4 linked regions of the Alligator mississippiensis genome follow. The protein of the gene in region 3 interacts with the protein of the main gene of each other region in a pairwise test. Links are inferred from orthologs where the notes say so. Each region holds a gene or a part of one and is shown on either strand. Other genes may lie near its edges. The genes, in order: EIF1AD, NPM2, SDCBP2 and PTMS.

The links.
Region 1: the proteins of SDCBP2 (region 3) and EIF1AD interact in a two-hybrid assay, tested with the Homo sapiens proteins (3 studies listed by BioGRID and IntAct). The two-hybrid records come from large-scale screens. The link is inferred for Alligator mississippiensis from reciprocal best matches to the Homo sapiens genes SDCBP2 and EIF1AD.
Region 2: the proteins of SDCBP2 (region 3) and NPM2 interact in binary tests that used the Homo sapiens proteins (3 or more experiments, as listed by UniProt). The two-hybrid records come from large-scale screens. The link is inferred for Alligator mississippiensis from reciprocal best matches to the Homo sapiens genes SDCBP2 and NPM2.
Region 4: the proteins of SDCBP2 (region 3) and PTMS interact in a two-hybrid assay, tested with the Homo sapiens proteins (2 studies listed by BioGRID and IntAct). The two-hybrid records come from large-scale screens. The link is inferred for Alligator mississippiensis from reciprocal best matches to the Homo sapiens genes SDCBP2 and PTMS.

The regions. Positions count from the first base shown.
Region 1 is NC_081838.1:4,500,188-4,507,383, forward strand, and holds EIF1AD (probable RNA-binding protein EIF1AD), read right to left. Parts: upstream 3,013-7,196; 5' UTR 3,010-3,012; coding exon of another isoform or gene 2,923-3,009; intron 2,745-2,922; 5' UTR 2,625-2,744; coding exon 2,620-2,624; intron 2,442-2,619; coding exon 2,336-2,441; intron 2,194-2,335; coding exon 2,085-2,193; intron 1,991-2,084; coding exon 1,882-1,990; intron 919-1,881; coding exon 868-918; intron 617-867; coding exon 481-616; 3' UTR 148-480; downstream 1-147. Other genes in the region: BANF1 (barrier-to-autointegration factor), read left to right, coding at 4,743-4,868, 5,770-5,916.
Region 2 is NC_081830.1:18,887,978-18,895,726, reverse strand, and holds the start of NPM2 (nucleoplasmin-2), read left to right. Parts: upstream 1-4,746; 5' UTR 4,747-4,828; intron 4,829-5,052; exon of another isoform or gene 5,053-5,254; intron 5,255-5,449; 5' UTR 5,450-5,470; coding exon 5,471-5,534; intron 5,535-6,492; coding exon 6,493-6,578; intron 6,579-6,923; coding exon 6,924-7,043; intron 7,044-7,384; coding exon 7,385-7,478; intron 7,479-7,749. Other genes in the region: protein PBDC1, read right to left, coding at 1,364-1,491, 2,144-2,255, 2,590-2,730, 2,861-2,920, 3,009-3,074, 3,211-3,330. UniProt on the Homo sapiens protein: Core histones chaperone involved in chromatin reprogramming, specially during fertilization and early embryonic development. Probably involved in sperm DNA decondensation during fertilization.
Region 3 is NC_081832.1:2,012,321-2,019,705, forward strand, and holds the start of SDCBP2 (syntenin-2), read right to left. Parts: upstream 3,006-7,385; 5' UTR 2,498-3,005; intron 1-2,497. Other genes in the region: peptidyl-prolyl cis-trans isomerase FKBP1A, read right to left, coding at 6,555-6,683.
Region 4 is NC_081824.1:243,755,477-243,762,818, reverse strand, and holds the start of PTMS (parathymosin), read right to left. Parts: upstream 3,007-7,342; 5' UTR 2,714-3,006; coding exon 2,666-2,713; intron 925-2,665; coding exon 853-924; intron 1-852.

The sequences.
Region 1 (7,196 bases), on a different chromosome or scaffold from region 3:
AAAAGGGGCAAAAAATAGCCGGGGGGGGGGGTGATGGCAGAGAAGCTGGGATGGGGGATAGGTGAGGTGTGTCCCACCCCAGAGCCAGCTGTGGCAGGGTCCCAGGCATTTGGGGAGGGGACACAGAGCTTACGGCCACTGAGGGGGGCAGTTGCCAGTGTCTTTATTGAGGTGGCCATTATGCTTGGCCGCTGATGAGCCCCAACCCCAGAACCAGCTGCATTGATTTAAGGCCCCAGTGGTGGTCCCATTGCTGTTCTACTTAGCTGCTTGCACCCCATCCCCAAGGTTACGGTGTGGGTGTTACACCCAGCCCAGAGGCAGCAGCAGCTTATTACACTTGGCTGCTAACACCCACCCTAGAGGTGGCCATATCTGTATGATATGCCCCACCCCAGAAGCAGCCACATCTTTTGTGCTGGGGCAGGGAGGCTCCCACCTGCCAGCAGAGTCCATAGCAGCCCCAGTGGTGGGGAGGGGTCACTGCTCCTCTTCCTCACTCTCATCCTCGTCCTCATCCTCGCTGTCAGTGCCTGCATCACGGAGCCGATTGGGGTTCACAAACAAGTCGCTGTCGCTGTCCTCATCCTCCTGGGCGGCTGGCGGCTCCCCCACCCTGCCAGAGACAGGGTGAGAACCCAGGCACCTGGAGCACCCCCCCCAATACCACCCCACAGCCTAGTACTGCCTTAGGGGCTGGATACAGCACAACCCCAGCTACCTCTGGGATGAGGTGCCCAGCAGCTGGGTATGTCATGGGCTGGAATGCGGGTGGCTCTGGGGTGGGACATAGCAGCAGCAGCTGAGTAGAACTGATAGAGCCAGCTCTGGGGGGCACCTAGGCCAGGTACAATGGGTCCCACTCACCTGCTCTGGGGGCTGGGCCGCCTGTTGGGGGCATCTGAGAAGGCTTCAGGCCTGCAAGGAGGGATAGTAAGACATGGGGTAGGGGGGAAGAGAGGGCTGGGATGTAGCCCCTCCCTTCAACTGGGAACCAGTGGTCCCAGTAGAAGCCATCCCAGTGACAAGGGCAGAAATTAGTGGGGTACAGACCCTCCCCCTACCAGCCATTGCTCCAGTCCCAGCTGGTATTAACCCCTTATATTCCCGCACAGCCCTGATTGCCATCCCCCCATTCTGGGCTATAAGGAGTAAGACACCAGTGGGGCAAGTCCAGGCCATACCACCCCACTCCCCAGGACTTAACTCCCTGTGCCCTGGATCCTCCCCCCAACCCCCAAGAGCTGAGCCCCATTGAACCCAATAAGGCAAGGGGAGAGAACCTGTATGTGCCTGCAGCTCCATGCCTCAGGTACCCCACTCAGAAGCTAAGACTTAAGAGCCCCTCCTTCAGTGGAGGGAAGGTTGGGGGATAGCTTTGCCTGGCTGGGGGGGGGCGGTGTTAGGGCTGTGTCTGCTCCCACATCCCTCAGTTTCCCCACTCCGAAGCTAAGGCTGAAGCGAAAGTGGGAGTTGCGATTGCATGGCCAGGAAGGGTTCTGGGTGGGGGGTGGTCCCAGGGCTGCTGCCTGAACCTCTGTGCCCCAGTTTCCCCACTCAGAATCAGAAGCTAAGAGTGTGGTGTTCCCCCTGTCTCAGTGGTGGGGGGGGAGGGGCTGGTGCCTACCATCCTGTGCCTCAGTTTCCTCACTTAGAAGCTAAGTCTAAATCCTCCCTGCCAGTTCAGCACAGGGACAGAGAGGAAGCGGACTGCCTACCATGGAGGGATCATGGGAGGGGGTGGGAGTGGGGGGTCTCAGAGCTGCTGTCTGCTGTGCTTCAGTTTCTCCACTCTGAAATAAAGACCTAATCTTCCCGATTTCAGGGGAGGGAAGGTTGGGGTGGCACTGCCCTGTCCCATGCCTCGGTTTCTCCACATACCAGAGCCCCTCCTGCTGCAGGTAGCGCATGTGGTCCTTGTAGAGCACGAAGCTGATCTCGGCCTTCACCTTCTCGCCCTCCTCGATGGGATCGACCAGCAGGAAGTCACCTGTGAGGGTGGGAGGGGCAGGTGAGGGGGCGGGGCCTGCCTTGAAGTGGGTGGTGGGGATCCCCCAACCCCCAGGGGTGCTGCAGCCACTCACCTCTCTTGATCCACAGGTTGTGGCGGAACTTGGGGGGCATGCTGGCCAGGAAGCGCCCGCCCCCTGGTGCCTCCACCTCGTGCAGGTTGTTCCCGGGGCTGCCCACAACCTAGGGGAGGGGCCAGGATTATCCCAGGATGCAGCGTACAGACAGGGGAGGCTTTAACCCAGGGTAACTCCTTCTCACCCAGGGGTCTAATGCTAAGGTTGGTTGTCTTGGGACAGAACAGACAGACAAGGAAGCCCCTGACCCATGTTAATTCCTTCCCTCCTCTGGGACAGAGCGGACGGAGAAGGCAGCATTTAAATGGGGGTAACTCCTTCCTTTCCATAGGATAAGCAGCCTTAGTATCAGACCTGGGATAAAGCAGACAGGAAGGGAGCCCTTAACCCACGGTAACTCCTTCAACTGCTCTATAGGCAGCCCAGCACTCCCTCAGAGGCAGGAAGGCATTGGCATTTAACCTGGGATAACGCCTTCCTTCCTTCCCATAGGTTATCCCAAAACAGAGTGCACAAGCAAGGAAGCCCTTACCCCATGCCAACTCTTCCCTGCCCACGTCTTTATTCTGGGATAAGCGCATCCAGCCGACAGGCAGGGAAGCCCTTAACCCACAGTGACTCCTTCCAGGCGCTGGGTTAATACAAGTGCTGGTTATCCTAGGAGAAAGTAGACAGAGGGGCCGGTCCTTGCCCTGCTCCCCCAGCCCTGACCACACTTGTCCTGGGACAGAGCAGCACTGAGCTGCCTCCAGGGTTGTCATGGGATGAGACTCCCTGCACCCGGGGCCAGGGGGTGGCTGGTGCTGGGTGGGGGGGGACGGGGCCCCTCACTCACCCGCACGATCTGCTGCTGGGCTGTGGGCACCACCAGCTCCTCCAGCGCCTCCTTCACCACGTGCTTCCGCTTGGTGGCCTGGGACATGGCTCAGCCCTGAGCGGTGGGAGGGGAGAGACTTGGAGACCGGGGCAGCTCGGCTCCTTCCCTCCGTGCCTCCGTTTCCCCATTAAGTCCCCTAATACACGGCGCCAGGAGCCTTCCTGCTGCTCCCCGGCCCCCCCCGGGGTTCCCAGTCCTGGTGACCCCCCTCCCCCCCCAGGTCTGGCATAGAGGCATGGGGCCCTACCTGTGGGGGGGAGGTCGGGGCGGAGCCGGGGTCTCCGGGAGCTGAGCTACGGGAGGAAAACGCGGCCGGAGGCTCAGCCGGGCCAGAGAGATCGCAGGCCTCCGCCCCCCGCCCCCATCCGCAGAGCTGGGAGGACCCAGGGGTCCGGGGATCCCCCGCGCACACACCTGGGGCGGTCGGCTCCTGCCTCTCCCTCCGCGTGGGAACCGGCACTTCCGGGTGTCTCACCCATCACCGTCCCCTGGCGGCACTTCCGGTGTCCCCTCGATTCCCCTCCCCCGGGCAATTTCCGGATGCCCCCACGCCACTTCCGGCTGTCATCCCTATGGCACCCCCAGCGTCATTTCTCGTCTCCATGGTTGGGACGCGGGGGGCCGGGGGGGGAGCAGCCAGAACGCCCACTAACCGGTCTCTATGGTTATCCTGGGATAGAGCAGACAGGGTAGCCTTTAACCCGTGGTACATGGAGGACTGAGTTTGCCCTAGAGTGAGCCCCTCTCGCCCCCCTCTCTATGGTTACAGGGGCGGGAGGACTGGGTAAACCCTAAAGCGCGCCACAGCGTTCCCCCCTCTATGATTATAGATCCCTGGAGGACTGAGCTAACCATACAGCGAAGCAGAGCCCCCCCCCCGCCCCCTTTCTATGGCGAAGGAGCGGGTGGGAGGACTAAATTGACCATAGAGTGACTCACGGCGCCCTCTCTATGGTTAGAGACGTTTGGAGGAGTGAACGCACCATAGAGCGAACCAGAGCGCCTCCCGCCCCGCGCTCCTTCCCGCCAATGGGGCGGGGCAGAGCTTCCACTTCCCGGAAGCGGCGGCGCGCGCAGGCGTAGTGGGTGCTCGGCTGGGCGGGAGCGGCCGTTGGGACCGGGACGGCGGAGGCTGAGTGGGGCCGGGGCGTCTGTCGTGGGCGGCGGCGGCGGGTTTGTAGCGGGAGGGGCTGTGGGGGGGGAGGGGCGAGCCTGGTGCCAGGGGCTGGGGGAGGGGACGGGACGGGACCCGGCGCCCACGTGGGGGCGGGGCGCGGCCGGGCGCGCAGGCGGGGCCTGTCGGGGTGCACTTCAGGGGTGCCGGGGATGTGTTGGGGGTGGGGGAAGGGCAGAGGGAGTATCCCCGTGTGGGGGGAGGGGCGGGGCCCCTCCCCCCCCGGCCGTGCGCTGCCCACGCGGCCTCGCCCCTGACGGGCAGCAGCAGGTGCCGTCCAGCCTTGGCAGGGGCTGCTCCAGGCTCTGGCCTTGTTTGGAGACCGCTCGGTCCTCCTGCCGGGGCTGGAGGCTGGGGGTCTTCCCTGAGGGTGGGGGGCCGTCATGAGGTCGCTGCGTCTCTGCCCCCGTCCCCTCAGCCGGCGGCTCGAGGCTCCGGCCTGCGTCCGCCCCCCTGCAGCCCCCCCGCACTCCATCCCAAACCCCGGGGACGTCCCCGCGGCGGGTCTGGGGGCCCCGTCGGCAGCCGGGTGGGGTGTGGGAGCTGGAGACGGGCAGCCTGACGCGGCCCCGCTCCCCCCAGGCGTGGCCGAGGCGCGTGGAAGATGTCGTCCACTTCGCAGAAGCACCGGGACTTCGTGGCCGAGCCCATGGGCGAGAAGCCGGTGGGCAGCCTGGCCGGCATTGGCGAGGTCCTGGGCAAGAAGCTGGCGGAGAAAGGCTTTGACAAGGTGCGTGTGGTGGGGCAGGGCCCTGGTGCCTGGCCTCGTGGCTCAGTAGGCTTCCAGGGCGCAGGTACCGTCATTTCTCATGTATAACGCTCCCTCAGATAAAATTCTTGCTCCTCTGTATAGCAGCGTTCCTCAGCTTTTCCATCCGAGTGGCCGGATGGGCTGTACTCGCTCCCTCCAGGGGCCACGTTTGGCTGATGGACCCAATTCGGCCCCCAGGACAGCCGTGGGGGGGTCCCATCCAGCCACGCAGAGTGGGTTGGGCACAACCTGGCTGTGTTCCCGCCATGTGTGGGGAAGGGCTTGTCTCTTGGGTCATGCTGACTTGGTTTTGAGCCAGCCCCCATGGCCAGATCTCCATCTGACCATGGGGGGCACATGGTCCAGCTCTGAACTGCCATGTGGGGCTTAGGATTTGGGCAGCGGGGAGCGGTGGCAGTGCAGTAGCCATTGCTGCCCCGCTGCCAAATTTCCCCAGCCTTGGAGAGCCCCACAGGCATGATTTAGCCACTGGCTTGGAGGTTGAACACTGCAGCACTGTACTGTACTCTCCTGTGCGTAATGCACCCTGGAATATAACCCACTTTTTGTTTTTTAAAAGCTCTAACAAAGAATAGCCTCCAGGTCTTGACTGTTCTCAGCTAGCAGCTAGGAAGCCCTGCCTCCAGCGCCCCTCCTCCTGCACCCAGCAGCAAAAAAAGTTTTCCCATATATTCCTGCTTATAATGCACCTCTCCATTTTCAGTTGCCTTAAGCAGCCAACCCCCCCACTCTCTTTACCATCTTTCCCCAGTTATAATATGTACACCTCAATTTCCAGCCATTGGAGTTGGTGGGGGGTGAGTGCATGTTGTATGTTGGAAAATACAGTAACTCCCATGTTTCGTTGCCCCCTTCTCAGGCCTATGTGGTTCTTGGCCAGTTCCTGGTGCTGAGGAAGGATGAGGAGCTTTTCCGCGAGTGGCTGAAGGACACGTGCGGGGCCAACGCGAAGCAATCGCGGGACTGCTCTGGCTGCCTCCGGGAGTGGTGTGACGCCTTCTTGTGAGGGGCAGATGTTGCCGGCTCCTGGCCTCCGGCTCTATCAGGCCCTGGTAGTTCTCATGGGGGGGCGGGGACGGGAGGGAACCATCGCCTTTGTACCACATCCAGAATAAATTCACTCCTTATCACACCCCTTTGTGCCTAAAACCAACCCATTTTTCCCCCCCACAAGAGCTTGCTCTCTAGCTAGAAAAGGGGGCTGGAAGAAAAACAACCCCGCCAACCATCAGCTGGAAGCTGCGGTAAATTTTCCCCCGCCCTGATGTCTTTCCCAGTGGGATTTTGTGTCCTTCCAGCCTAAATGTGGGGAGTTTTAATCTTTTCCCAGCTTATTCCCGGAGAGGTGATGCTGGGGGGAGACTTTTTAGCCCTTTCTCTGGGGCTGTTTTAGGCCATGGGCGGTAAGGGGGGAAGGAATGGAGGAGGGGGGGATTTTTTGGTGGTGGGAGGGACAAAACCATCATTGTAAAGGTCTTTTTGTAAAGGAACAATAAATGTTTGGCTGCGTGAATATTTCTGGGCCCTAGGCTGGTCCCTTGCGGGGTGGGGTCTGGTAGGGTGGAAGTGGACTGATCTGCTCTCGGCTGGGGGGTATATATGCCATTTGCACACGCATGCATATGTACACATATATATATAATGGGGATAAATACTGATCACTCCTTGAAATATTTATTGTATGCGTCCTCCCTTCTCCCCCCACCCCTTCCCCCTGCACATGGACCATATATATTTGTGAGGGGAAGAGATATACAGTGTATACTTGGAGGGGTTGAGGGGATATGCACCATATTTCCTTGCCTATAATGCACATTTTTTGTTTATATATTTCTCTCACATATATATATATGGTATATATTTGTGTGTAGGGGGGAATATAACATATATGTTGGGGGGGGGGGGGGTTATATGCCATATTTCCTTGCTTGTGATGCACATATTTTCTCTACTTATACCATATCCATCCCCTGCAAATATATATGGTATGCATCATCCCCCCCCACAAGAGGATGAGTGGGTGCATGGAGCATGGGGTGGATGGATGATGGACAGACCAGCCTATTTAGTTTAGAAACACTTGAGGGGGACTCAGCACTGGTGAGACGTGCCCCTCCGAGAGAAGTGCCAGTGACAGTTGGGGTTTGCTGCTGGCACTTTTGCCCGTGGTGGTGGTTGGCTGCTGGGGGATCCCCACCCTGGTCAGCAATTGGCTGATGGTGTCCCCCCCACTGGTATTAGGAGGCACCAGTCGCCCATGGGACAGAGAGGTTTCCAAAGTACTAA
Region 2 (7,749 bases), on a different chromosome or scaffold from region 3:
AGTGTTATTGGCAGACAAGGTTCTTGGGGTACATGTGGTATCTTCTTATTAGACCAACTAAATATTTGGAAAAATTGTTCTTTGCAAACTTTCAGGCACAGGGAGTCTGCATGGGTGTTACTGGCAGGACAGGTTTGTATTCAAGACTTCGTTGGACAGTGCCATCAGGCCTAGGTGCTTGGCCTGTGATGGCAGATTATTCAGCTGTGCCTCACAGCTTCCCTGTCTTGGAGGTATCAGTTGATTATCTGAAATATTTTAATAAGCTCTGTTCCTTAACACTAAAGAGCATGAACCCATACCTGTTGAACTGCTTTGAAACTATGGTTTGAACTTAAACCAGAACCCAGAAAGAATCTCTGCAGCTGCTTTGACAGTAGAGTAATTTGGCTTCATTTTCATTTTGAACGAGCAACCCTGCAGCTTGCCTCCAGCTCAAGGGCATTCTTCCCAGTTCACATACCAGAGCAGAGGCCACCTTTTTCTACTGTTGGCAAGGACTTGAAGTAACTGCACTCACGCAGAACAGAGCTCTGCTGCTACTGCTAGCTCTTCTGCATCAGCAGCCCCTTCAAATCTGAAGGGCTTTGCCAGTGGATTTAATATTCAGGGTCTTCTGGTTAGGGATGCCTCTGACCATGAACTAGATGCTGATGAAACCTGTACAGATTCACTTTTTATTGAGCCTCAGGGAGGCAGGGGACAAAAGGCCTGAACTGATATGCAAACACAGGGCCCTAAGTTCTTTAGCCCACTCCTTTCCTTTGAAAGACACAAGCCAGCAGCAGCTACTGTGTCCAGGGAGTATCTTATCCCCTTATTGCTTTCATCTATAATGAAGAAAAGGTGGGTGGGGGGGAAAGGTAGGAAAAAATACTGCCCTAACAGAACTTGTCTAGTAAAGAAAGAATGCCCAGAATTGCAACTGGAGATGATATGGACACTTGTGGTTTATTGTTTCAAACTGATTAACTTGCAGTATATCCCAGTGACACGGGAGGCTTGTCAAGTCTAGGAAGAACCACACCAGAGAAGAGCAGTGCTCCAGGGAGATGCAATACCTTGTGAGAAGTTCTTCAGCTGTTTTCAGATTTAAGGCTGCTGATTCCCAGGTTACTGGTGCAGGGTGCCAGGGGATGCTATTCTGTGCTTCCACCATCCCACTGTATGTAGCAAGATTTAAGTCACAACCATTTATTGACAGGGCACTTCAGGTCACTTGAGCACCATAAAAGCACAGAGCAAAAGCTGATCTCTAAGTCAGGTTCCCCTTCAGTTGCTGCGTGTTCGTGTAGCTTCAGAGCAACTGTTAACACTCCTGCAGCAGGGAGTGGCCCCATCCAGTGTACAGAAGGGGTTTGTTCTACCCATGGTCACAAGCTGCCTTCACTGCAGCAGCCATCTTCCTCTGGGTGGCTGAGTTGTAGATGACGCTGTTGTAACCCTCTCTGTTTCGAGCAATTTCAATGGCAAAAAATTGGATCCTGGTGGCTAAAAGGAGGAGAAAATAAACATATCTTTATAGCAGCTCTGTGGTGTAAGGTATCTTCCCCTCCCAACAGCTCTTCCAAGCTTCTACTACTGCCCCCTTCATGCACAGACATGCAGCCTTTTTAATCCAGAAGGGAACTGCTCCAAGACTTAGGGCTCTAGGTGTGGCAGGGCACAGCTTCTTCTGCAACAGTTACCCCTTAAAATAGCACTTTTTGTGGGTTAACCAGCAGAGCAGACAGTCTATAACTTGGTGCTGAGTCTAGGTTTGGTTCAGTATCTGAGGAACAACTTGGTTTTTGTGTGTTGACATGACAATTTTTTTCTTAAAGACAAGTCAAATCAGCTAAATCAATTCCAGATCTCAGAGTCATTCAAGAACCATATGTGGCCCTACTACAGGCAAGCATCCTCCACCCATGCCCGAGGCTTCAGATGTTTCCAAAACCTTCGGTGGGCATCCTACATGCAGGCCCAAGTCTGGAGGCTTAGAGTTCGGATACCCCCGAGTGTTGCCTGCCCTCAGCCATATGGCCACAGGAGCAAGCTAGGGACAACCTGGCACTCTATTTAGAAGTGCCACGTAGAAATCTGCGCCCAGTTTCTGCATGGGCAGGCCTTCCTCTCAGGTTGTACGCGGCGGTTTGCTCACCAAATATCGTATTCTCTTCCGTGTAGTCTTTGCTGCAGTCCAGCCGCAGCAGGGTGCCGTAGTTGAAGTCTTCGACGACCCCCTCAAACTGCATGCAAAACGGACGCCACTTCTAGAGACAGAAGAGCCGGGGCTGTAAACTTCTTCCGGGCAGCCGGATGAAGCAGGGCCCATTCTCGGCCCTCAGATCCCATGTCCCCGAACCTGCCTGCTGCTCACGATGCCTCGCCCGCATTCGGGAGAACAACAAGCATGCCGGCGAAGCCAGAAAGCACCCACAGTCGGGAATCCCTTCACGGCAGACGTGTCTCCAGCGTGGCTTTGCGTCGTCCCACGCCACGACCGCTGTGGCGCTTCCCCCCCTTGAGCCTTCTCCCTCCTTCCAGCCCAAGACTTTCCCCTGGGGCGACGCCGCGCCCCCGTTGCAGCTTGCCCAGAGCACCAACCTCCTTGGCTGGCTCCGATTTGAGCTCCTCCGGCTCCAACACGTCGATCCTGAGGCGCCCGAAGCGCTCCCGGAAGGCAGCGTAGATCTCCTCATCCACCTTGGTCAGCTTCAGAAACGTCGGGTCCACCGAGGAAATGAGCTGTTGGGGGGTGGGGAAAGGGGAGAAAACCCGGGGCCGGGCTCCTGGGTCCCGACAGCTGCGAGCAGCAGCGCGCTCGACCCCCCCCCCCGGCGGGAAGCAGGCAGCCCGGCCCCGGCCCCGCACTCACGTTGAAGTAGACCTCGGCGTGCTGCGCCGCCTTCATGGCCCACATCATCTCCACGCCGGGCTGCGGGGACGGGACGGGACGGGACAGGGGGTGAGGGGGTGCGGCCTCCTCGGCCCCGGCCCCGACCCACCCCCGCCTGGCTACTCACGTCGTTGCCGTAGGCCTCGGCCGGCAGGGACAGCGCGCGGGCGGCGGCCGCGGCCTCGCCGGGGCCCTGCGGGGAACAAGACACGGCGGCTCAGGCGGGCCCGGGCGGCGCCGCCCCGCAGCCCCCTCCCCCAGCCCCGCCGGGCCTCACCAGGGCGCCCAGGCCGCCGCCGGCAGCCGCCATGTTGCCTGTGACCCCTGACCTTTGCCCCTTGTGCTCCGGGGGTTCGCTTCCGGGCGCGCCGGAAGCTGCCTGTGCCGGCGTTCCAGGGGAGGGGAGGGGGTGCGCATGCGCTGCGCCCCTGGGTCGTGCTGCCCCGCATGCACCGTACTGCACACAGCTCCCTCGCCTCATTGCAGGCTCGCAATCTACATTGCAAATCATTGCGTGGCTCCTACATTGTGCTGCACGGCTCCCACACTGCGCTGCATGGCTCCCACATCTCATTGCACAGCTCCCACACTGCACTGCATGGCTCCCAAACCACTGCAGGGCTCCCACATTGCACTACACAGCTCCTAAATCGCTGCACAGATCCCATGCCTGATTGCATGACTCACACGCTGTACTCCACAGTTCCCACACGGCACTGCAGGGCTCCCGCACTCTACTGCATGGCTCCCAAACTGCATTGCATTGCTCCCATGCTGCACTGGATGGTTCCCAAACCACTGCAAGTCTCCCACACTGCGCTGCGTAGCTCCCAAACCACTGCACGGCTCCCACGCCTCATTGCATCGCCCCCATGCTACGCTGCTGCACTGCGGGGCTCCCAAACCACTGCAGGGCTCCCATGCCTCATTGTACAGCTGCTGTGCTGCACTGCACAGCTCCCACGCTGCACTGTAGGGCTCCCAAAAACTACTGTGCAGTTCTCACACCGCACTGCATGGCTGCCAAACCACACTGCACAAGCCCAGGCCGTGCCCCAGCCAGGCCCTGTTCCGGGGGTTGCCCCACAACCCTTGGTCCCTGCCCCAGCCCCGTTCTCAACGAGAGCACAGTTGACACGTGTATGTGCAAACAAAACCACAAGGCCCCCGGAGCCGGCCACGCCAGGGGATTGTGGTCATTGCCGTTTGTTTGTGGAATGGCAGGGTTACAACTGAGATTGTTGCTCCAGGGTCTGTATGGAGGTGTCCGGCCCTGCTTGGTTTAAAGTCCAACTAGACGGACAGCCGGGAGGGGGGGGGAAGGAAACTGAGGCATAGAGGAAGGAACTGAATGACTCCAGACTGTCCAGCAGCTCAGTGGCAGAGCCAAAGATGGCACTCAAGGCTCCTGAGTCCCAGTTCGGTGCCTAATCGATTCCACTGCACAGACCAAGCCCGTCAGAGCTGCAGACAGCTCCACTGCCTGCATATATCTGACTCTTTTCTAAGCTAGACATATAAGTGCTGGGATGCCCTGGGCACCCCTGGGAGGATTTTGCATAGCCCTACCTTTCAGGTTTCTGTATTCTCAAACCTTGGTTCCCAGACTTAATGGGGGGTTTCTCTACCCATTTGTCTTGGAATAGCCGAACCTTGGATCTGTGGGTTTAACTTCACATTTGTACTACAGAAAGTGCTGGATGATAGCAATCACGACTGTGTTTCCACTGGCCAAATTTCCTCCCTTTGAAGGAATCTCCTGTCTTTGAAGAGAAAGGGCTGTTTCCCTTTAAGACCAAATTTCAGCAAGGTGAGGCTAATTGAATGAATGGTTGAGCGGCTCACCTGCTCTGCCTTTATAAGATGCCTGGTCCAGAGGATGGTTGTATGCAGGGTTGGTTAGGTCTTTTATGTAGGGTTGTTTTTTTATATGAGCTGCTTGCTGGGGTAGGTGGTTGTATTCATAGCCCCTTTCTGTGTAGAGGGGTTTTTCTTTGGTGGTTTGTATGTGGTTTTATGTTGGAGAAGTGAGTTGTTAAGCATAAATATCAGTAAACTCTGCTTTTCCCCTTTAAAGCATTTTCTGATCATTTGTATGACTTGAGTCCTTAAGTGAGAAGGATGCATGAGGTTGGTTACTCCATGTTGTTCCCCAAAATGCTTTTTTACAGGGGCTGTTCTGCTGGTTTCTTCAGCAGAGATGTGGTCAGAGGCAGTAGGTAACAGTAACTCAGAAAGCCACTTACATAGGACAAAGATTGAAACTGGACAATGGGAGCTTTGTGTTCCTGAGCTCTCAAACTGCAGCTCTAATATTTGGGGTGAAGGAAGGATAGTAGGTAGCATCTAAGAGCAATCACAGGAGGGACACTTGTGAGTAACAACTTCATGTTCTCCTTGTTTTGTGCGGAGGAGGAAAATCCAGCTTCCTAACTGAACTAAACCAGGAGATGACCCCCCCCCCCCCCCCACCTTCATAGATGCAATTGCTGCTCTGTCATTGCAAAGCCTTTCCAGCTGAATAGAGACTCCTTTAAGTAATGGTGCCTTTTTTTTTTCTTTTCATAGAAAAGGTAGATTCTGGAAACAATGGCTCTTACCAACAGTATCAACAGTGACAGTAAATTGGAGAAGCCCATATCTCTGATTTGGGGTAAGAAGCTGCTTGCTTTGCACCTGAGTGTCTGAGAAGCGCTTGGTGATCAGTGCTCAGGTTATTTCTGCTGTCTCCTTAACACTACTTAAAGCTGTTGCTCCCAGTCCTCTCTCCCATAACGGCCTTCTCTGTTCCAGAAATCTGCTGGGGGGGTTGGATTTTTTTTTTTTCTTTTGTGGTTGTTTTTGGTCTTGTTTTTTGTTCAGATCTTCCCTACTTGCAACCTCCACTTACTCCTATAAAGAAAGGCTTCAGCAATAATGAGGTGTCTCCATGGAGAGTCTTCTTGAGAGCTAAATCTTGGTGGCTTCTGAGTCGTTCAGGTCTTGGCTAAAACAAAGTGCAGCCTCTGAGGTGTCTAGTATCTTTTGCTTCTCAGAGGTGCAACAAATCCTTGGAGTGAGATGGGGCTAAGGGCCTGCTCCCTGGAGCACGCTGCGTTGCCAGTCGTGCTATGCTGAGTCCACCTTCAGCTGAGGTGTAGATGCTCAGCTTGGTCTGAGGCAAGGCTAGCTGGAGTGCATCCAATTGCTCTTTTTCTCTTGTCTCCTTCCTTCCCCCACAAAATGGATGTGTTTCAGCGTCTCCTTGGCTCATGTTGGCCAATGGCAGCGGCAGTGCAAACAATATCTTTGCTTCTAATGCTGTCTACCAGGCAGGAACATAAGTGAAAAGACCCTTTGAGGGGCAGGGTTTCTTGCCTCCTAGACTGAGAAGCCATTTGGAGATTGGGGTGGGGGGGAATACAGAGACACTTTGCAGTTCCCAACACTTCTCCTTTCCTAGTCCCCTTTGCTGGGGGGGGGATAGCGAGCACAACCTGTTGAGACATCCCACCCTTGATAGAAGCCTGTGCTGTGAAACTCACGCTGAGCATGTGATGCTGGAGGTGGGGTGAGCTGCCTTTATGATCTGATTTCTTTTTTTAATCGCTGATCTCTGCCCCCTTCCACAGGCTGCGAACTGAGCGCAGAGAATACAACCTGCACCTTCAAGATGCCAGATGACTGGGCCTACGAGCAGCAACTGGCCTTGCGGATGGTAGGTACCTAGCCCATCCTTTCCCACAGAGGATGTTTGGGACAGGGCCCTTGTGACTGGCTTTGAAGTGGGGGTGGGAGGTGTGTATGGGATGGGAGCCTGTCTTGTAAAAAGCCAGTTGCAGAATAGGGTGAAGCAGAGGGTCTGGCTTCTCCAATACCATGCTTCTGGACTGCAAGTGGAGTCTTCTCATTGTCAATGTGCCCGTGAGAGTACAAGTCTCTTCTCACCAGGCAGTGAAGGCAGCCCATTTGGCCTTGGGCATGTCAAGTTGGGGGATACTCTGAGCAGAGGCTGTCACCACTGATAACACAGTGCTAAAGGCTTGTTCTTCTCTCTCCAAAGATCTGCGTGGGGGAGAAAACCAATGATGAGCTCAACATTGTAGAGATCATCCCTCCAGAGGACAGCCAGGACCCAAGCCCTGTAGTCCTAGCTGCCTTGAAGCCTTCTGTGCTGCCAATGGTGAGAGGCGGGGGTGTGGGCTGGCATTTACACAGCCTGGAAGCTGGGTCAGAATCGAGCATCTAGATGACTCCTGGAGATGGAGAGCAGGTCACTGATAAGCCCAGGTCTGAGCAAGCTGAAGTGCTAACTTGGTGTGTAGGCATGCTGAAATGTGGAGGGAACAGCCCTTTGAGGAGGATAGCACATGAGGGGTGAGCACTGCCATGCAGTCTTCAGCTTTTTGGGACTTGATACAAAGTCCCATTAGGCCTTCAAAGCCAACTAGTCTCCAACCATAGCTTTTCAGGGCATAACCTGCCATCAGCCCACCCTCACGGCATCGCTGCTGTCTCTTCCAGGCCCCCATGGTGGGAGTTGAGCTGACGCCTCCTGTCACCTTCCGGCTGAGAGCTGGCTCTGGCCCAGTCTACATCACTGGACAGCACATTAATTGTAAGTGTGGGTGCAGCGGGGTTTAGTCTATCCAATACTGACATTAGGGCAATGCAGTGTGTGTTGGTTCTGGTGACTGCAATACTTGCTGGGTCTCCTCTGCTTCAACCAAATGAGAGAATACTATAGCCAGCTGGCCACTGCCACCTCTGCATGATGGGAATGCAGTAAAGCCCCCACCTGTGTACACTACACCCTGCTGCTGGAGCAGGGACTTTTGTGCTGCTCGCATGTCTGGACCATAAACTGTCCTCCCTTCCTGGGAGGGGTA
Region 3 (7,385 bases):
ACGTCTGTGTGCGTGCACGCCTGCAGGTGTGCATCTGGGTGGAAGGGGTGGGGGTCTGCACATGTCTGGACCTGGGGCTGGTGTGTGCACACGCATGTATTCCAGCCACAGCGGCTTTCCAGGGGTGCGTGGGAGGGGGCTGGGCTCTGCTGGGGGGTGGGCATTGGGCACCGAGCCCCCGGGGGGCTGGCACGCCCCACAGAGGCTGTTTTACACGCCCGAGCACAGAGCCTGCATGCCACGGGGGTTAGCCACTCTGCGGCTCTGCCTCCTCACACCCAGTCGTCACACACGCACAGCTCTCATACACACCACTCTCTTGCACACACTCTGATCTCTCACACACACCTCTCATATCTGTCACACACACATGCACGTCTCTCACATACATCTCCATCCCACACGTCTCACACAACACAGCTCTCTCCCTCACACACGCCTCTCACACACATACACATCGCTCTCACATGCATGCGCACACACGTCTCATCTCGCACACCGACACACACGTCTCTCACAGCACCCACAGATCTCTCGCAGACATGCATCTAGCTCTTGCTCTCACACATGCACACACACGCACGCACGCACACGCTCCCCACGTGCCGCTCCCAAGGTGACTCGGGCTCCGTGCTGCGCCGTGCCCTGCGCGGCTGCTGGCCTTGCTGCGCAGGTGTTGGGTGCCGGTGATGCCGTGCACGCCCGTGGCTTGGCGCAGCGTGACTCAGCCCGGCGTGGCACTGCAGGGTGCCCCTAGTCCCGGCACAGGCTCCTACCCAGGACAGGCCCCCCGGCCGTGCCCCGCAGCCTCGGCCGATGCCGCAGGCAGTGCATTGTTCCCCGAGCCGGGCTGGCACCCAGCCCCGGGGCCACGACCCATGCCCCACCCCTGGCACTGGCTGGCATGAGTGCTCCATGAACGGCAGCCTCTGTGCCCCTGTCACCGGCTAAGCCCAGGTGCCGGGCCTGCTCCCCGCAGCTGTGGGGCTCCCGGGCCGGGAAAGCACCCGCTCAAGCCCGAGTGTCTGTAACCTCTGGGCACCAGGGTCCGCACGCCGGGGAGGGAGCCTGGACCCCGCGCAGCCAGGCAGCCCCCTCCCCTGCCTTGCACCCGCCACACGGCAGGCCCACGGCGGGCACCACGCTCAGCCCCCATCACAGCACACGCTCTAGGCACAGATCTGCCCGTGTGCCCACATTGCAGGGACTGCAGACCCCACACCCGCAGGCTTTGCACCCTCTAGTCGGAGTGACCGTGCCAGCACCGAGCTGCAGACAGGCCACGTGCTTGGAGATTCATCCTGTGGAGCGGGTGGGGAGGTTGCAGCCAGGCCCAGCTACCTTGGGTGCTTGGCAGTGGCTCCCTTGAAGGCCACGAGGTCCGAGCCCAGCGTGGCTGGCAACATCTCGCTAGGGCAGCAGAGCGGGGCAGTTACAGCCGGGAACTTGAGAGCAGCTAAGTGACATGACCAGGGCCCCACAGGGCCCCTGTGGCAGAGCAGGAAGCGGAGCGTCCCAGGTGACACCCTCACTCAAACCACGGTGTGACAGGGGGACACGCCGCGACGCTGCCCCGTTCACAGCGCGGTGGCATGGCACGTCCCGGTCGGACAACTCAGAGACGTGGCAGCGCCGCGGGCTGGGGGCTACTCCAGCAGCCGGGGCAGGGTGCTGAGCTCGGCCTGGGGAGCTGCGGACCTGACCCTGCAGCCCGCTCTGCAGGCAAAGCCACCCGGGCTGCGGAGGGGAGATGCCTCCTCCCCTCCCCATGGCTCCTCCGCTTCCCTCGGGTCCGTCTGGGGCACCTGGGCCAGGCTCCACCGCCGTACGCAGGCGCAGGCCACGACCGATCGCAGACTCATGGAGGGGGGTTGGCAGGGACCTCGGGGGTCACATCTAGTCCAACCCCTGCTCCAAGCAGGACCAGCCCCAACTCCATCATCCCAGCCAGGGCTTTGTCTGCCAAGGTCTTAAACACCTCCGAGGATGGAGACTGCACCACCGCTCTGCGTAACCCCTCCAGTGACCCTCCTCATGAGAGTTTCTCCTAATATCCAACCTGAGCCCATTGCTCCTTGTCCTGTATCTGCCCCCACCGAGCACAGCCCAGCTCCGTCCTCTTTGCAGCCCCCTGCCCCAAGGGCACAAGGATGCTGGGAGGGACCTTGGCTTTTGGCACCTCCAGAGCCCACAAAACAGAAAGCGCCATCCTTGCAGGCATGGGACGAGCCTTCGTCTGTGGGTTCGCCCTTCCCCAGAGCCTCCCCTGCGGCCCGGGGCCGTCCAAGGCCCGGCCTGATGTCAGCCCGGGCTAGTCGGAGCAAAACAAGCCCCAGCCTCCCCGTCGCGGGCTGTGGTTTCGGGCGAGGCACGGAGCAAGGCACGGCAAGCCCAGCTCCCGGCACTGCTCAGCACCCCCGGCCCGCAGCGCCCACCCACGGGTGACACGCTCCTTGTGCCCGGGCTGCAAACAGCAACCCCCAAGCACGCTGCTCACCTTGCAAACAGGCTTCCCTTCCCCGGGACGCTCTGCCAGCCCGGGTCAAAGCCCACTGGCTTTATACCAGCAGGGCTGGCAGCCTGGGAGGGGCCCGTCTCCATCAGCTGACTGGCAGTCACCGGCCGGGAATGCAGGAGGCAAGCAGGTGACAGGTGACAGAGGGAGCGCGGCCTGGCGAGGGGGCCTAGGACGTGCCCCGAGCCAGGGGTGCACCAGGCGCTCTGCTTGGGGGCACGGAGCGGGTCTGATCCAGAGGATCTATTTGCAAGGGCTGTTGCTGCTCCCTGCAGCCCCCTGCCAGGTCTCCAGTGCTGCAGCCGGGTCCTGCTGCCCTTCTCCCCCCGCCGGTGCCCGAGCTGGCTGCAGAGGGAAGCACGAGCCCCCGCCAGCCCCGGTGCTCGACAGGCTCCTGCCACGGCCGGCGGGCGCTTCTGCACCCAGCGCACAGTGATGTCACGCTCCCCTCGGCGGGGACGTGCCGTCCCGGCGGCTCAGCTGTGATGCTTGCCGTTGCCATGGCACCGGCCTCCTCCACGCATGCGACACGCGCACGGCGTGGGAAGCACGCCCACGTCAGAGCCGCGGGGACAGTGACTCAGGGACGCCTGAGTCAGCAGCAAGCCTAGGCCCTGCATGCCTGACGCTTTGGTGGATGCTCTAACCACTGAGCAATGCTGCAGCCAGGGCACGGGTCCGAGCAGGTGCACGAAGCCCCGTCGCGCGGAGCTGCTCAGGCCCCTCCACCCCCGTCACCGGCCCCCGGGCACGCGGCCGTGCCCGCTGCGACGCCAGGGCAGGACAGGAGTGCGGGCAATAGGGCAGGAGGAGGAAGAGGAAGCAGAGCTCCCGAAACTGGCAACCGAGTGACCTTCGCCCTCTGCGGCAGGCAAGGCCCATGGCACCGCGCGCAGAAGGCGCCCGGGCTCCAGCTGCAGGCGAGGCCCCGGTGCGGATGCTCCCCCGACAGGGTTACCCCCATCCCGGAGCATCGTGCACCGGTGCCCAGTATCCTCAACCGCTCCGCGCGGAGCTGGACGCAGTCCAGACCCGCCTCCCCCTCCCGAAACTACCAGCAGCCCCACCTCTGCCCCGGAGCTGGGAGCGGAGAAACCGGTTGCTCCGATTGCAAAACTCTGCGGCGGAGGCCGAGAGAGATGACGCGGGAGGAACGGCCCTTGCCTGCTGCCTGGGGCCAAGCCCCGGGGAAGCCCGGCTGCGTCTCTGGGGCAGCGCTGGCTGGGGCAGGAGGTGGGTCCTTGGGGGAAAGCACCTGGGAGGAGTTGCCCGGTGGCAGGCACCCACCTGAGGATCTCTGCATGCCAACAACACCCAGGGTGCAACACCTCCCCCCGGTCTCATTGGCTGAGGGAGCTGTCGATGAGCCCGCCCCTGGTGCCGGCATCCAGGTGAGCTCACCTGTGCAGAATGCAACCTGCAGCCCCGCCAGCCGTTGCCCGAGCGCTCGGTATTTCCCTGTTGATGGCGTTGCCAAAGCAGAGGGCACCTTAGCAATCGTCACACCTGACGCTGAGCACGCAGGCCCTGCCCGGCCGCCTCCGCAGCGCCGTCTGGGATCCTGAGCCAGCAGCAGAGCGGGGTGCCAGGGGCAAGGGCAGCAGCACAGAGACTTCATGGCAAAGCGCTCCAAGGCAGCGCTTCCAGGTGGGCAGGGGGTAGGAGCCGACCCCAGGCACCTGCAATGCTGCTCCCACCCAAGACACGGCACAGGTGCTGCGGCCGACTGCCACTGGCCGAAGGTGGGATCTTTTGGGGAGCAAACGCCCCCCCCCCCGCCTGTCCCCTCCGCTCCCACACGTGCAGCAGTGGCCGGGAGTAAACCTGACAGGCGCTCGCCGCGGTGCCACCCACACCCGTGCCTAGCGAGGGCTGGGGGAGCCGCAGGCAGCAAGCGATGACTCACGCAGCATTTTAAAGCCGGAACAAAAAGCCCCTCGGATGCGAGCCGGTCTTGTGGGCATCAAAGCCGTGGCAGGTGGGGTGGGGGGAGCACGAGACCTGGGCACATGCACTGCCCCACAGGCCAGCAGCAGGCTCACCATCGCTGCACATCCCTTGGCAGGAGGAGACCAGGCTGACCAGCTTGTTTCCCAGACCCGCTTTCCCCCGAGCCCAGACGTAACCTCAGCCGCCCTCCTGCACGATCAGCTCCCCTTGCAGAGCAAACCCGGGCCCCAGCCCAGCTCCACACGCATGAAAAATATCAAGCTCCCTGGTCCCCCTGCGGCCCTGCTGACCCACGCAGGGAGACAGCGCGGAGGATGCAGGCAGAGCTGGGGAGAGCCTCGCTCCCTGCCCAGCTCTCCCAAAGCAAGCAGTGTGGCCAGGCCCCTGCAATACGCCCGGCCGGGGGAAGTTTCTGCCCAGGCATCGGGTGCTGGTTACCTGCTGCCGCGGCGGAGGAGATGCAGACGGCGTTCTGAAAGATGAGCTTTTTAAGAGGTTTAGGGCAGTGCAATGACAGCTGGAGGGACAGGCAGTCTCCCAGCACAACTGGGACGAATCCAGACTCTTGCTAAGGGAGACCAGGCAAGCTGCCCCCTCCAGAAGCCCGCAGGCCGCAAGAGCCGGTGCCCAGACTGGCAGCCCCGGGCAGCGCGCCAAGGGCACAGCAGCAGAGAGGCGAGTGACAAACCTGCGAGAGGCAGCGTTGAGAAAAGCCAGCATAAAGCACTTTTATTGCAATCATAAAACTCAATACTCTGATGTGGCGGTGGAGGAGGAAGCGATGGCAGCCATTCCTCTTACCAAATCACGACGCGGGGCAGAGGGAAGGGAAGGGAGCCGAAGTGACGCCAGCGGAGGTGGAGCCGTGCACCGAACGGGAGGCCGCGGCACGCGGTGATGACCAGCATCAGGTTTGGCGCGGGAGCGCTGGGGTCTCGTCATCCCGGCGACGGCGGGGGCGCCAGCTTTCCGCCGCGGGCTCGTTCCTATCGGTGCCCCCCCAGGAAACAGCCCCTTCCGTCCACGTACAAAAGGCCCCTTGCGATGCTGCAGCCTATGTAGTGGTGGAGCACGGATGGCGAAAGGAAAAGAGACCCTCAAAATCCAGGAGGAGGAAGCGGGGGGAGGAAAACAACCACATGCTGGTAAAGGCAGCAGGCAGCAAAGGGGGCAGGATACTGCCCGCTCTGGGCACCGCCAAGGGGGAAGTGCTGGCGTGGTGGCACCACCCTGCCGGGAAGGGAGCAGGAAGCTACTTGTTCCCGTGTCTCAGTCCCAGGCAGGGAAGTAACACCGCCAGCCAAGGACCCCTTTGCTCCCCAGAGTCAGTCAGCCCTTGACAGCTCCTCGCTCTGCTATGGCTTTTGCAACGGCAGCGGCAATCTCTTTGTCATACACAACAGATATCTGCATCCAAAAAAAAAAACAGAACAAAACCAGCTCCCGACATTTCCTTCGCTCCAACGATCCCTAGCACAGGTCGCCCCAGGGCGCACTAAAGCCGGCAACACAACCAGATGAAGAGCTCGCCCAAAAGGGGGGGGGGGGGGAAACAAAAAAAACAAAACCAGAAGAAAAACCCCTAAAAGTTGAGGTTTACGGCGTATAGTTTAAAAGACATAAAAACACAATACAAGGAGGAAGAGTCAGAGGCAAAGCTGAGTGACCAAACACATTCAATCAAGGTACAGGGTTATACAACGAGTGTAGTGGAATATCAGGAAAAGCTCCGTACAAAGTCATGTGCATTCTTCTTGAAGCTGAGATTCTGGATTCCTCCATGTGCCAAACCTGGGAGAGAAGGAGGAGGGAGGGGGGAAAGATGGTGCTGAGCCGATGCCACCTGCGGACAGCTGGCAATGGGGTGCCAGCGGCCTGCCCCTTACGGAGGGACGCGACGCCCCACCTGCTCAGCACGAGGGGCTGGCTGCAGCCGGATCCGCAGGGTGCATCGTTGCCATCACCCCCCTTGCATCTCGAGTCTCAGCCCAATTGCCCCGCACCCGGGACCTGACACCTGCCTCCCAGGACCCTGCCCCAGAGCCCCCCACCTACCCAAGGACAGGGAGCGGGGGCTGGGCGCCTCCTGTCATTCCAATTTCATAAGCTCCACGTCGAAGATTAGGGTGGCGTTGGGCGGGATGATGCCGGGGTGGCCGGTGGAGCCGTAGGCGTAGTCCGGAGAGATGGTCATCTTCGCTCGCTGGCCCACGCTCATCTGCGGGAGACACAGAGCACAGCTGGCGGAGGCAGCGCGGGGACACGGCACGCCAGTCTGAGCCCGGCTGTGCCCGCTGGCTCAAACCTGCCTTGCGGAGAAGCCTCCGGCGCCGTGCAGAGCCGGGCTTCGGGGCAATGCTGCAGCACGCAGCTGGCACAGCCTGCCCTGCTGCGCCAGGCCACGCTCAGCCCACACGCCCTCTGGGGCAGGTGCTTTGGGCACCACGCTGAGCACAGCAGGGCCCGTGCCCACAAAGCTTGACAGTAGTGCAAGCAAACACCAGACAGAGAACCACCGCAGCGCCGGCCGGGGACGCGACAGACGGCCGAGCTGCAGGAGATGCTGGAGGAAGCGGCTGTCCCCCCAGACGCAGGGCAGCCCGTCCCTGGGAGTGACCAGCTGGCCACACAGCGGGGTTTTCCAAGTCTCCACTCCTGCCTCAGGTATGTGCGATTAGGGATAATTAACAGCTAGTTAATTAGCAGTAAATGCTCCCTAGTGCAACCCTTGCCATGCTGCACCTTGTCCCAGGCTGTCCCTGCAGACATGGGTGTGTTCTCACGCACCCAGGTGCCACCTTCTTCTTGCCAAGGACTCGGGAAAAGGGGTGGCACTGGGGACTGCTGCCCTGTAGCCCAGCTAAGAGATCCGTGCCAAGACCCCTCTGCCTCAGCCCAAGCGGGCACCTCCTCCCTCAGC
Region 4 (7,342 bases), on a different chromosome or scaffold from region 3:
ATGCATCCTCTGTCATCTGGCTCCCTTAGCACTAAAACCCCCTAGATTCCCACAGAACTGTATCACCCACATAACTTCTGGTCTCGCTCTATTATTACACAGACCACCCTACTGCCTGAAACCCTCCTGAAATCCCCAAACTGTTCTTCTTCCTTCTCAGTCTCTACAGTAGTGATTCTCAACCAGGGTGCCATGGCACCCTGGGTTGCCATGAGATCCTTTTAAGGGTCCTGCTCAATATTATCACTGTTAGGTGCGCAAACACCTAGGCATGATTCACAAGATAAACCCAGAGATTTCAAATAGGAATCCATAGTGTCAAAAACATTTTGACCCATTTTTTTTCTGAGTTCCTTGCAACAGAAGAATTTCTCTCTAATTGCTCCCCACAGTCAAGAAACAACAGAAGGTAAGAGCTGTTTTTTTCTAACAGGTGCCTTGAGGTTGTAAATTAGTGCTTTACAAGGTAGTTCCCTTGCACCTTTTTCCTTTTCCAATCTGCTATTTCCCCAACCTGGACCAGGCTCTGCACTCCCCCTTCTTCCTCCATACCATCTCCTGTTCACCCGCACCCTTTTCTGCCATCTACCTTCTCCTTGCTCCCTGGCCTATATCTCTGATGGTCCTTCTCCTCCTCCTGGTTTGTACTAACCATGCATCCCATCTCCAAAACTCCCTCACCTAACTGGCATTCAGCTGCCACCTGCCTCCCTCCTAAACTGCAGTAGCCTGCCCTTCTCCTATATTCCTTCTTTCTGTCCCAAGCTACCCCTCCCCATGCCAACTGCCTCTCTTACTGCCAAAATCCTCCTCCAAACATGCATCCCAAAGAGAGACTACATTTGGCCTCACCTCTACTACTTCTTTCTTCTTTTCTTTGTGAATAGATTTCACCTCCAGTTTTTCCTTCTTTTCTTTCAGGTCCTAAATATAGAATGAAAAAAAATCATTCCAAGATTTGATACCTGGACACATAGCACATTGGCACAAATATTATTTATATCAGTTGTGTATGCCAATGGAAATTACACCAAGGAGTGTGGTTCCACCAAGATGCTTCAGGGAATATACTTATATTCAAGTATCCAAAGCCACCAGTTTATCCCAAGGTTGCTGCCTGCACTTCACCACCAGGTGGAAGGAGAGCAGCAGTAGTCTGTTCATAGCAAAGGGATAAGAAACGTAGCTTTCTACTACACAATACTGAAGCCACTATAACTTACGGCAGCATTTTTTTACTCCTGATTTTTCCCCCCAAGATAATTCTACACTGGATTCAAGTATATTACAACAGCATAAGGCTGTATGTCATTATGTGTGCTGCTTGGTTACACCAATGTGCCTAAGCCCACAGTGGCAAAGAGAGTGAAAGGATGAGACTGTTAAAGTTGAAAGCAATGAGGAACAAGAGAAGACATGGCAAAATAAAAGAAGTAAACAAACAAACAAAAAATAACAATTAGGGCATTGGACAGAGGGACAGACAAGGAAAAGGAAAAGCAGCAGATTTAAACCTGAGGAATGGAAATGTTTCACGTAGAACCCACAATTGGCAAGTAAGACCTAATCCCCATAGGATACTACACAGAGACCAAGAGATTTTTTAAAGTGGATCAGACACATACGGAAAACAACAAAAATCTAAGAGTTATATTTAGACAGGAGAAACTTTAAGATGGTCGTAATAAAACACAAATTCCAGGGCTGGACAAATAGGCCAACCATTAGGAGGAAAACGGCAACCCCTGTTGGAACCGATGCCATAACTGTCCACCAGGGGGGTCCCGCCGCCTCCCCAGGCTGCCCACGGCCAGAGCCCCGACTCCGGCCGCAGGACGTAGTGGGCTGGTCCTATCAGGCCATTCCTGTCACCAGCCGTGTGGTCTTTGCCAGAGAAACTTCCCCGCCCCCGGCACAGAAAAACCCTTGCTCCAGTACCAAGTTCAGGGCAGTGTCCCTCGCAGAGGGGAGGGCAGGATCAGCTCTAGTGTCCTCTGTCTGACCGGGAAAGCCCCCTCTACCCTCATCTCATTCCCCAGCCCTGGGAGCATCCCCCCCCCCGCAAAGCAAGCCCCGCAGCCCTGTCCCCGCCTCGGAACGTGGGGACCCCAGGTTTTCTCCGTTGGGAAAACACCTTCCCAAGCTCCACTGTCCTTGGGGAGCATGCTCCAGGCCAGCAAGGAGTCCACACACACGGGGCAGCGTTTTGGGGGAGAGCAGAGCAACTCAGCCCCTGACCTACTCGGGCTAGGAAGAAAGACCCGAGCGGGTGACACACGTTCCCCAGGGCCTTTCCCGCCCGCCCCCAGGCGGGCCCCGCCTTTGTCCCGCGCCGGCGGGAGAACGTCTGTCAGGCACAATGGCCCCATCTGCTCCCTGCATCCGCTCTGCCCCGCGCCCCTCCCCTCTCCCTCCCCCGCCGGTTCCCAGAAAAACAGTTCAAAGAGCGGGGATGTTTCTCCAGCAGCGCGCACACACCCCGCGCACCTCATCCTTCGCACCCCGGCACGGCGGGGGGCAGGCGAGGGCGGGTGGCAGGGCAGCGCGTGCCCCCTCCCCGGCGGGGCGGGCTGGGCGCGGCGCGTCTCACCCGCTCCCGGCCGCGGGCGGGGCAGGTGCAGGCGCGAAGCGGGCACGCACGCCGCCCCGCGCCGCCGGGGCTCACCTTGGCACTCAGCTCCGGCGGCGCCTCCTCGGCGTGCTTGTCCGACATGGCGGGCAGCCGCGATGCCCCTCCCCGGGCTGAGCGGGCGGCGGCGGCGGCACAGGGGCGCGGGCGTCCCGCGAGGCGAAGGGCACGGCTACAGCGGGGGCCGAGAGTGCCAGGGTCGCCCGCCCGCGCGGGGGGGACGATGCCCGGGAAGGGGATTTATAGCCCGGCCGGTGACGAGAGAAGGAGGGACCGGGGGAGGGAGCGGTGCCGGGAGGAGGAGGAGGGAAGAGGGAGGGAGTGGAGCGGAGCGCGCCTCCCCGTGCCCGCCGGGGCTGGCGCGGCGCCGGGCAAATCAGCCGGCGGGCAGCGCCTGGCGCCCCTGCCCGCCAGCCCGCTCGAGACCTTGGCCCCGCTGCTTTCCCTGCCCCGGAGCGGGGCGCCGGGACACACGAGCGCGCGGCGGGAGGGGGCCGTCAGCCGCTGGCTCTGGCCTGGGCCCAGCACCCCTCGCAGCGGCCAGCTCTCCCGCACGGGGCCAGACACGCGGTTGGGGCTCGGCAGACGGCACCGACCCCCCCGGGCCGCACGCTTGCCCGGGGCCTTCCCTTCCCTGCAGCGCCCCGGGGTGGGGGCACGTGGCAGCTCCGCCACGTGCCAGGCCAGCTGCGCGCATGGGGCAGGCGGCGGTGGCGGCGCTCCAGGGCCCGGCTTGGGGCCGCGGGCTGCTACTCCCTCCTCCCTGGAATTTTCCACTCGGGCTGCGGCCCCGCTGGCCCCGCGCCCGGCCGCGCCCGGCAGTCACGTCCGGGGCCGGACCCAACGCGGGAACCAGGGGGGCGGTATTTTTTCCCGCGCTCTGGTCCGCGGTCCGGGTGGCGCTCCTGTGCAGGCTCCGAATTCCCCATATAAGGAGGGAGCAACGGGCTGGCAGCTGATTGGGCCATTCAAATGAGCCGTCCGCCTGGCAACAGGGCGCTCATTGGCCGTTGGGGGGAAAAAAAATTACGCAATGAGGGAAAAGGCTGAAGGAGACGGGTCTCAGAACGAGACCAGCTGGAGGGAGGGGCGGTTCCCGTGGCAACCGGGGAGGGGCTTGCGCCACGTGGGGCCGAGGGGCAAGTGCGTGAGGGCCTGGGCCCTGGTGGCAGAGCGGCTGGGCCTGGGCACCAGTGTGGCCGGGGGCGGGCCCTTTGCTCCGCTCGGACCCCTGGTGTCCTTCACTGCGGGGTCACCCCCGCCCGCCTGTGCTGTGCGAGGTGAGGCCAGCTGGTGGCGGGATGGGGAACAGCCCTACTGCCCCATCACTGCTTGTGCGAGAGGAGCAAGAGGGACCAGGTATCCCTCTCCCCACATTATGAGCAGCGCTCCCGCCTCCATTCATTTCACATCTCCTTATATTGCAGGAATAGCGAGAGGCCCACCAGGCCCTGGCCCCAGACAAAGGAGGTGATGCAGTCGCCGCCACAAAGGGCCCGCCGCGGTCTCCGTTCCCGCTGGCCCTTGGAGAGGGCTCCACCTCGGGTCTGCAGCTATGAGCCCAGCCCACCCTCTGTCCCTGGGAAGCCACAGGCAGCAGCTGCACCGAATCCCCGAGGCTTCCGGGGAGATTCAGGTCAATCGCGTTTCTGGTTCATCCAGCAGGCAGCTCAACAGAACAAGGCTGAGCAGGGGTGAAACAAAGGAGCTCAGGATTAGGTGTGCAACACTGACACCTGCTGTCTATCGGAGAGAGTTGCACTGGCTGCTCTCCTGTCTAGACCAGCGGTTCCCAGCCTGTGGTACAGGTACCAACCTCTCAGTGGTACGTGTTAACAGATTTATAATCACTTTATATAACAGAAATCTGCTGGTGGTTCTTAAGGTTGAACTGGAAACATTTGCTGGTGGTACTTAAGGTTGTATAGTTTTAAATTGGCGGTGTGCAATCTGTCTAAGTTTGGGAACTGCTGCTCTAGACTGCAAGTTCAGATGTCAGGCTCGGAGGAATGCACGGTTGCCACTTCAATTCTAGCCCCCCTGCTGGGGGATGGCATAGCAGGGAGGGAGATGCAGAGCCTTCCTCCACAAGCGCTCTGCTTCTACAGGCACTGGGGTCAGCTGATGTGGTCCTAAACCTCCCCAGGGAAAATTGTTCCCCTCTGACGGTTGTTTGAGAGGAGTTGTTGGCTTCTAAACTCTGTCCTAATGAAATAAATGTCCCTGCCTCCGCATAACAGGCACTTCTTGCCTCTCTTGTTAGCTTCATCTGGCTGAATGTCACAAGGGCTGTCCCTAGCTGGAGAACAAGCATGCACATTGCACATCCAAACAGTCATAGAACCCATACACAATGCACATCAAAACCCAGGTATATTGACCAGCATATGCGCATGCATGGGGATATGCGCGGGGTGTTGTACACAGGGAGCAAAGGGGACAGATTTTAGGGGCTCTATGCTTTGCTAACTCACTATGTTAGAAGGTATCCATAATGTAATGCAGCCTCTACCAGCTCAGGTATGCAAACACACAGAACCAAGGTTGAGTATTTTTACGTTAGAAGGTAATGTTATGAATATACGTAACCCATGAATGCCTCACAGAACCACGTATTACACAAGTCCACGCACACCTGCACATAAACACATGTATGTATACTCCCTTCCCCAAGGGGTTTACACACTAAGAATATAAGGCAGGCACTCAGACAAAGAAATTTGCCAGATGTGCAATAGCTATTTCTTCTGTTTCCCCTTTGCATAACTCTCTTCCTGTCAGCCCCTCCTGTGTCCAGCTGCCAGTCAGACTTCAAAGACTTTGCTTTGCCTGAGTGTCCTCTTACTCCTATCCCCCTCCCACAATAAAATACTCATCCTTGATTCTGGAGAAATGCACACCAGAAGCCAGAACACCCTAGTATTCATAGACAGCGACTCCCCTTCCCTCCAGCAGGGGGAGTGCCTTGCTCAAACCACAAGACTCCAGCCAGCAACCTTGTTGTTCAGCCCCTTGATCCCTCTCTGTATGCAGCAAGCACACACAGACAAATGCAGAAATATAACACACAGACACAAACAGAGATACAGACAGAGACATTCTCACGCTACTGCATGCACAAACGCATACTCAGACACAAAGGGAAGCTGCATTGAAATCAGCATCGAAGACAGTGGGAAGAGGCGCACATGCTTTTTGTTAGTGATGTCATTGTGCCCAGATGTCTTGATGAATGGCGCATGATACCTAAACGGATATTGATACACAAAGAGGCACCTGCTTACATCAGGGTATTGTGTCCTGTCCTCGCTAAGATGGAGCCGTTTGGTCAGCTACACAGACTGATATGCACAATTTGTGACCCCCCCTCCCCAACACTTCATTAATGTCCCTCTCGCCATTTCCCATCTGTAATTCCCCTCTGCATCCCATCTACAACTCTGTCCCTTCAGTTCCTCTCCCGTCTTCTGAATCATAGCTATGCCTCTCCTCTATGCCGTGCCTGACCTTTCCCACCCATGTCTCATCTGCAACACCTACCCCATATCCTGTTTTCATTTCTCCATGTCCCACCTATGCCCACTGTTCCTAAATCAGATATGTGACTGCCTTTGAACTCCGCTGTGACATTTCACTCCCTTCTGCATTTCATTTGTGCTCCCCCTCTATATTAAGTCTGTGACACTCTTTGGCCTACAGTCTGTGAGTCCTTCATATACATTCCATGAATTATTCCCTTCAGGCTCTCACTTGTGACTCTTGCTTTTAGTCAGGTTTGTGCCTCTCCCTGGGTTCTATGCTGCTTCCCATTTTTAACTTTTCCCATTTCCATGTCCTACCTGTGACTTGCCCCTTTCCTCATCTGTGGCTGTCCCAACATCCCATTTACAGCCTCCCCACATGCCTTCTGTAACTACTCCATGTTCTGTGTGTGACTCCCCCGTGTCCTGTCTGTGACTATCCTGAGTCCTAGACTCCCCTAGCATCACACGTGGAATTTCTCCTCATCTACCTTCTTTGGATCCTCCCTCTTCCTGTGACTCCTTGTGATTCATGTGTCCCATCTGCAACTGCCCCCATCTCTAGTTTCCCCCAAAGCCTGTTTTCAACTCTCCTAGATCAGTGTTTTTCAACCCAAAAGTGGATCGCAAGAATAAATGAAAGTATCATAAACAAACTTTAAAAATGGATTCTCCTTTAATGCAGAAAAACATGGGAAGCCGTGGCTTTTCCTTTGCAGGATGGCAGAGTTCCAGCCTGCAAGGGGCTGCTTGGGGGTGCCCATGCTTCACACACTGGGGGGCTGGGGCCTGGGGGTGGAGGGCAGTGCATCAGGAGTGAGAGGCACTAGGTCAGAACTAGCCATTGATGTTTACAAATAGGTCCTGGTACAAAAAAGGTTGAGAACCACCCTAGATCCTATCTGTGATTCCTCTGCATTTTGTCTGTGATCCTCCAGCACCTTGTTTTGCTCCTACAGTGTTCTGTCTGCAACATCCCCATACTCCGTCTTCCTCTCCCCTAGTATATCCCATCTGTGATTGCCCCATGCCTGTCTGTTGTCTATGACTAATCCATGATTTCCCAGTTTCCCATTTTCAATCCCTCTCCTGTTCTGCCTCGGCTTCCTTGTCTCCTGTATTCCATCCATGACTCTCTAAGTCCTAGCTGCAACCCAAGTTACTCCTGCATCCCATGTGCTACTTCCCCTAT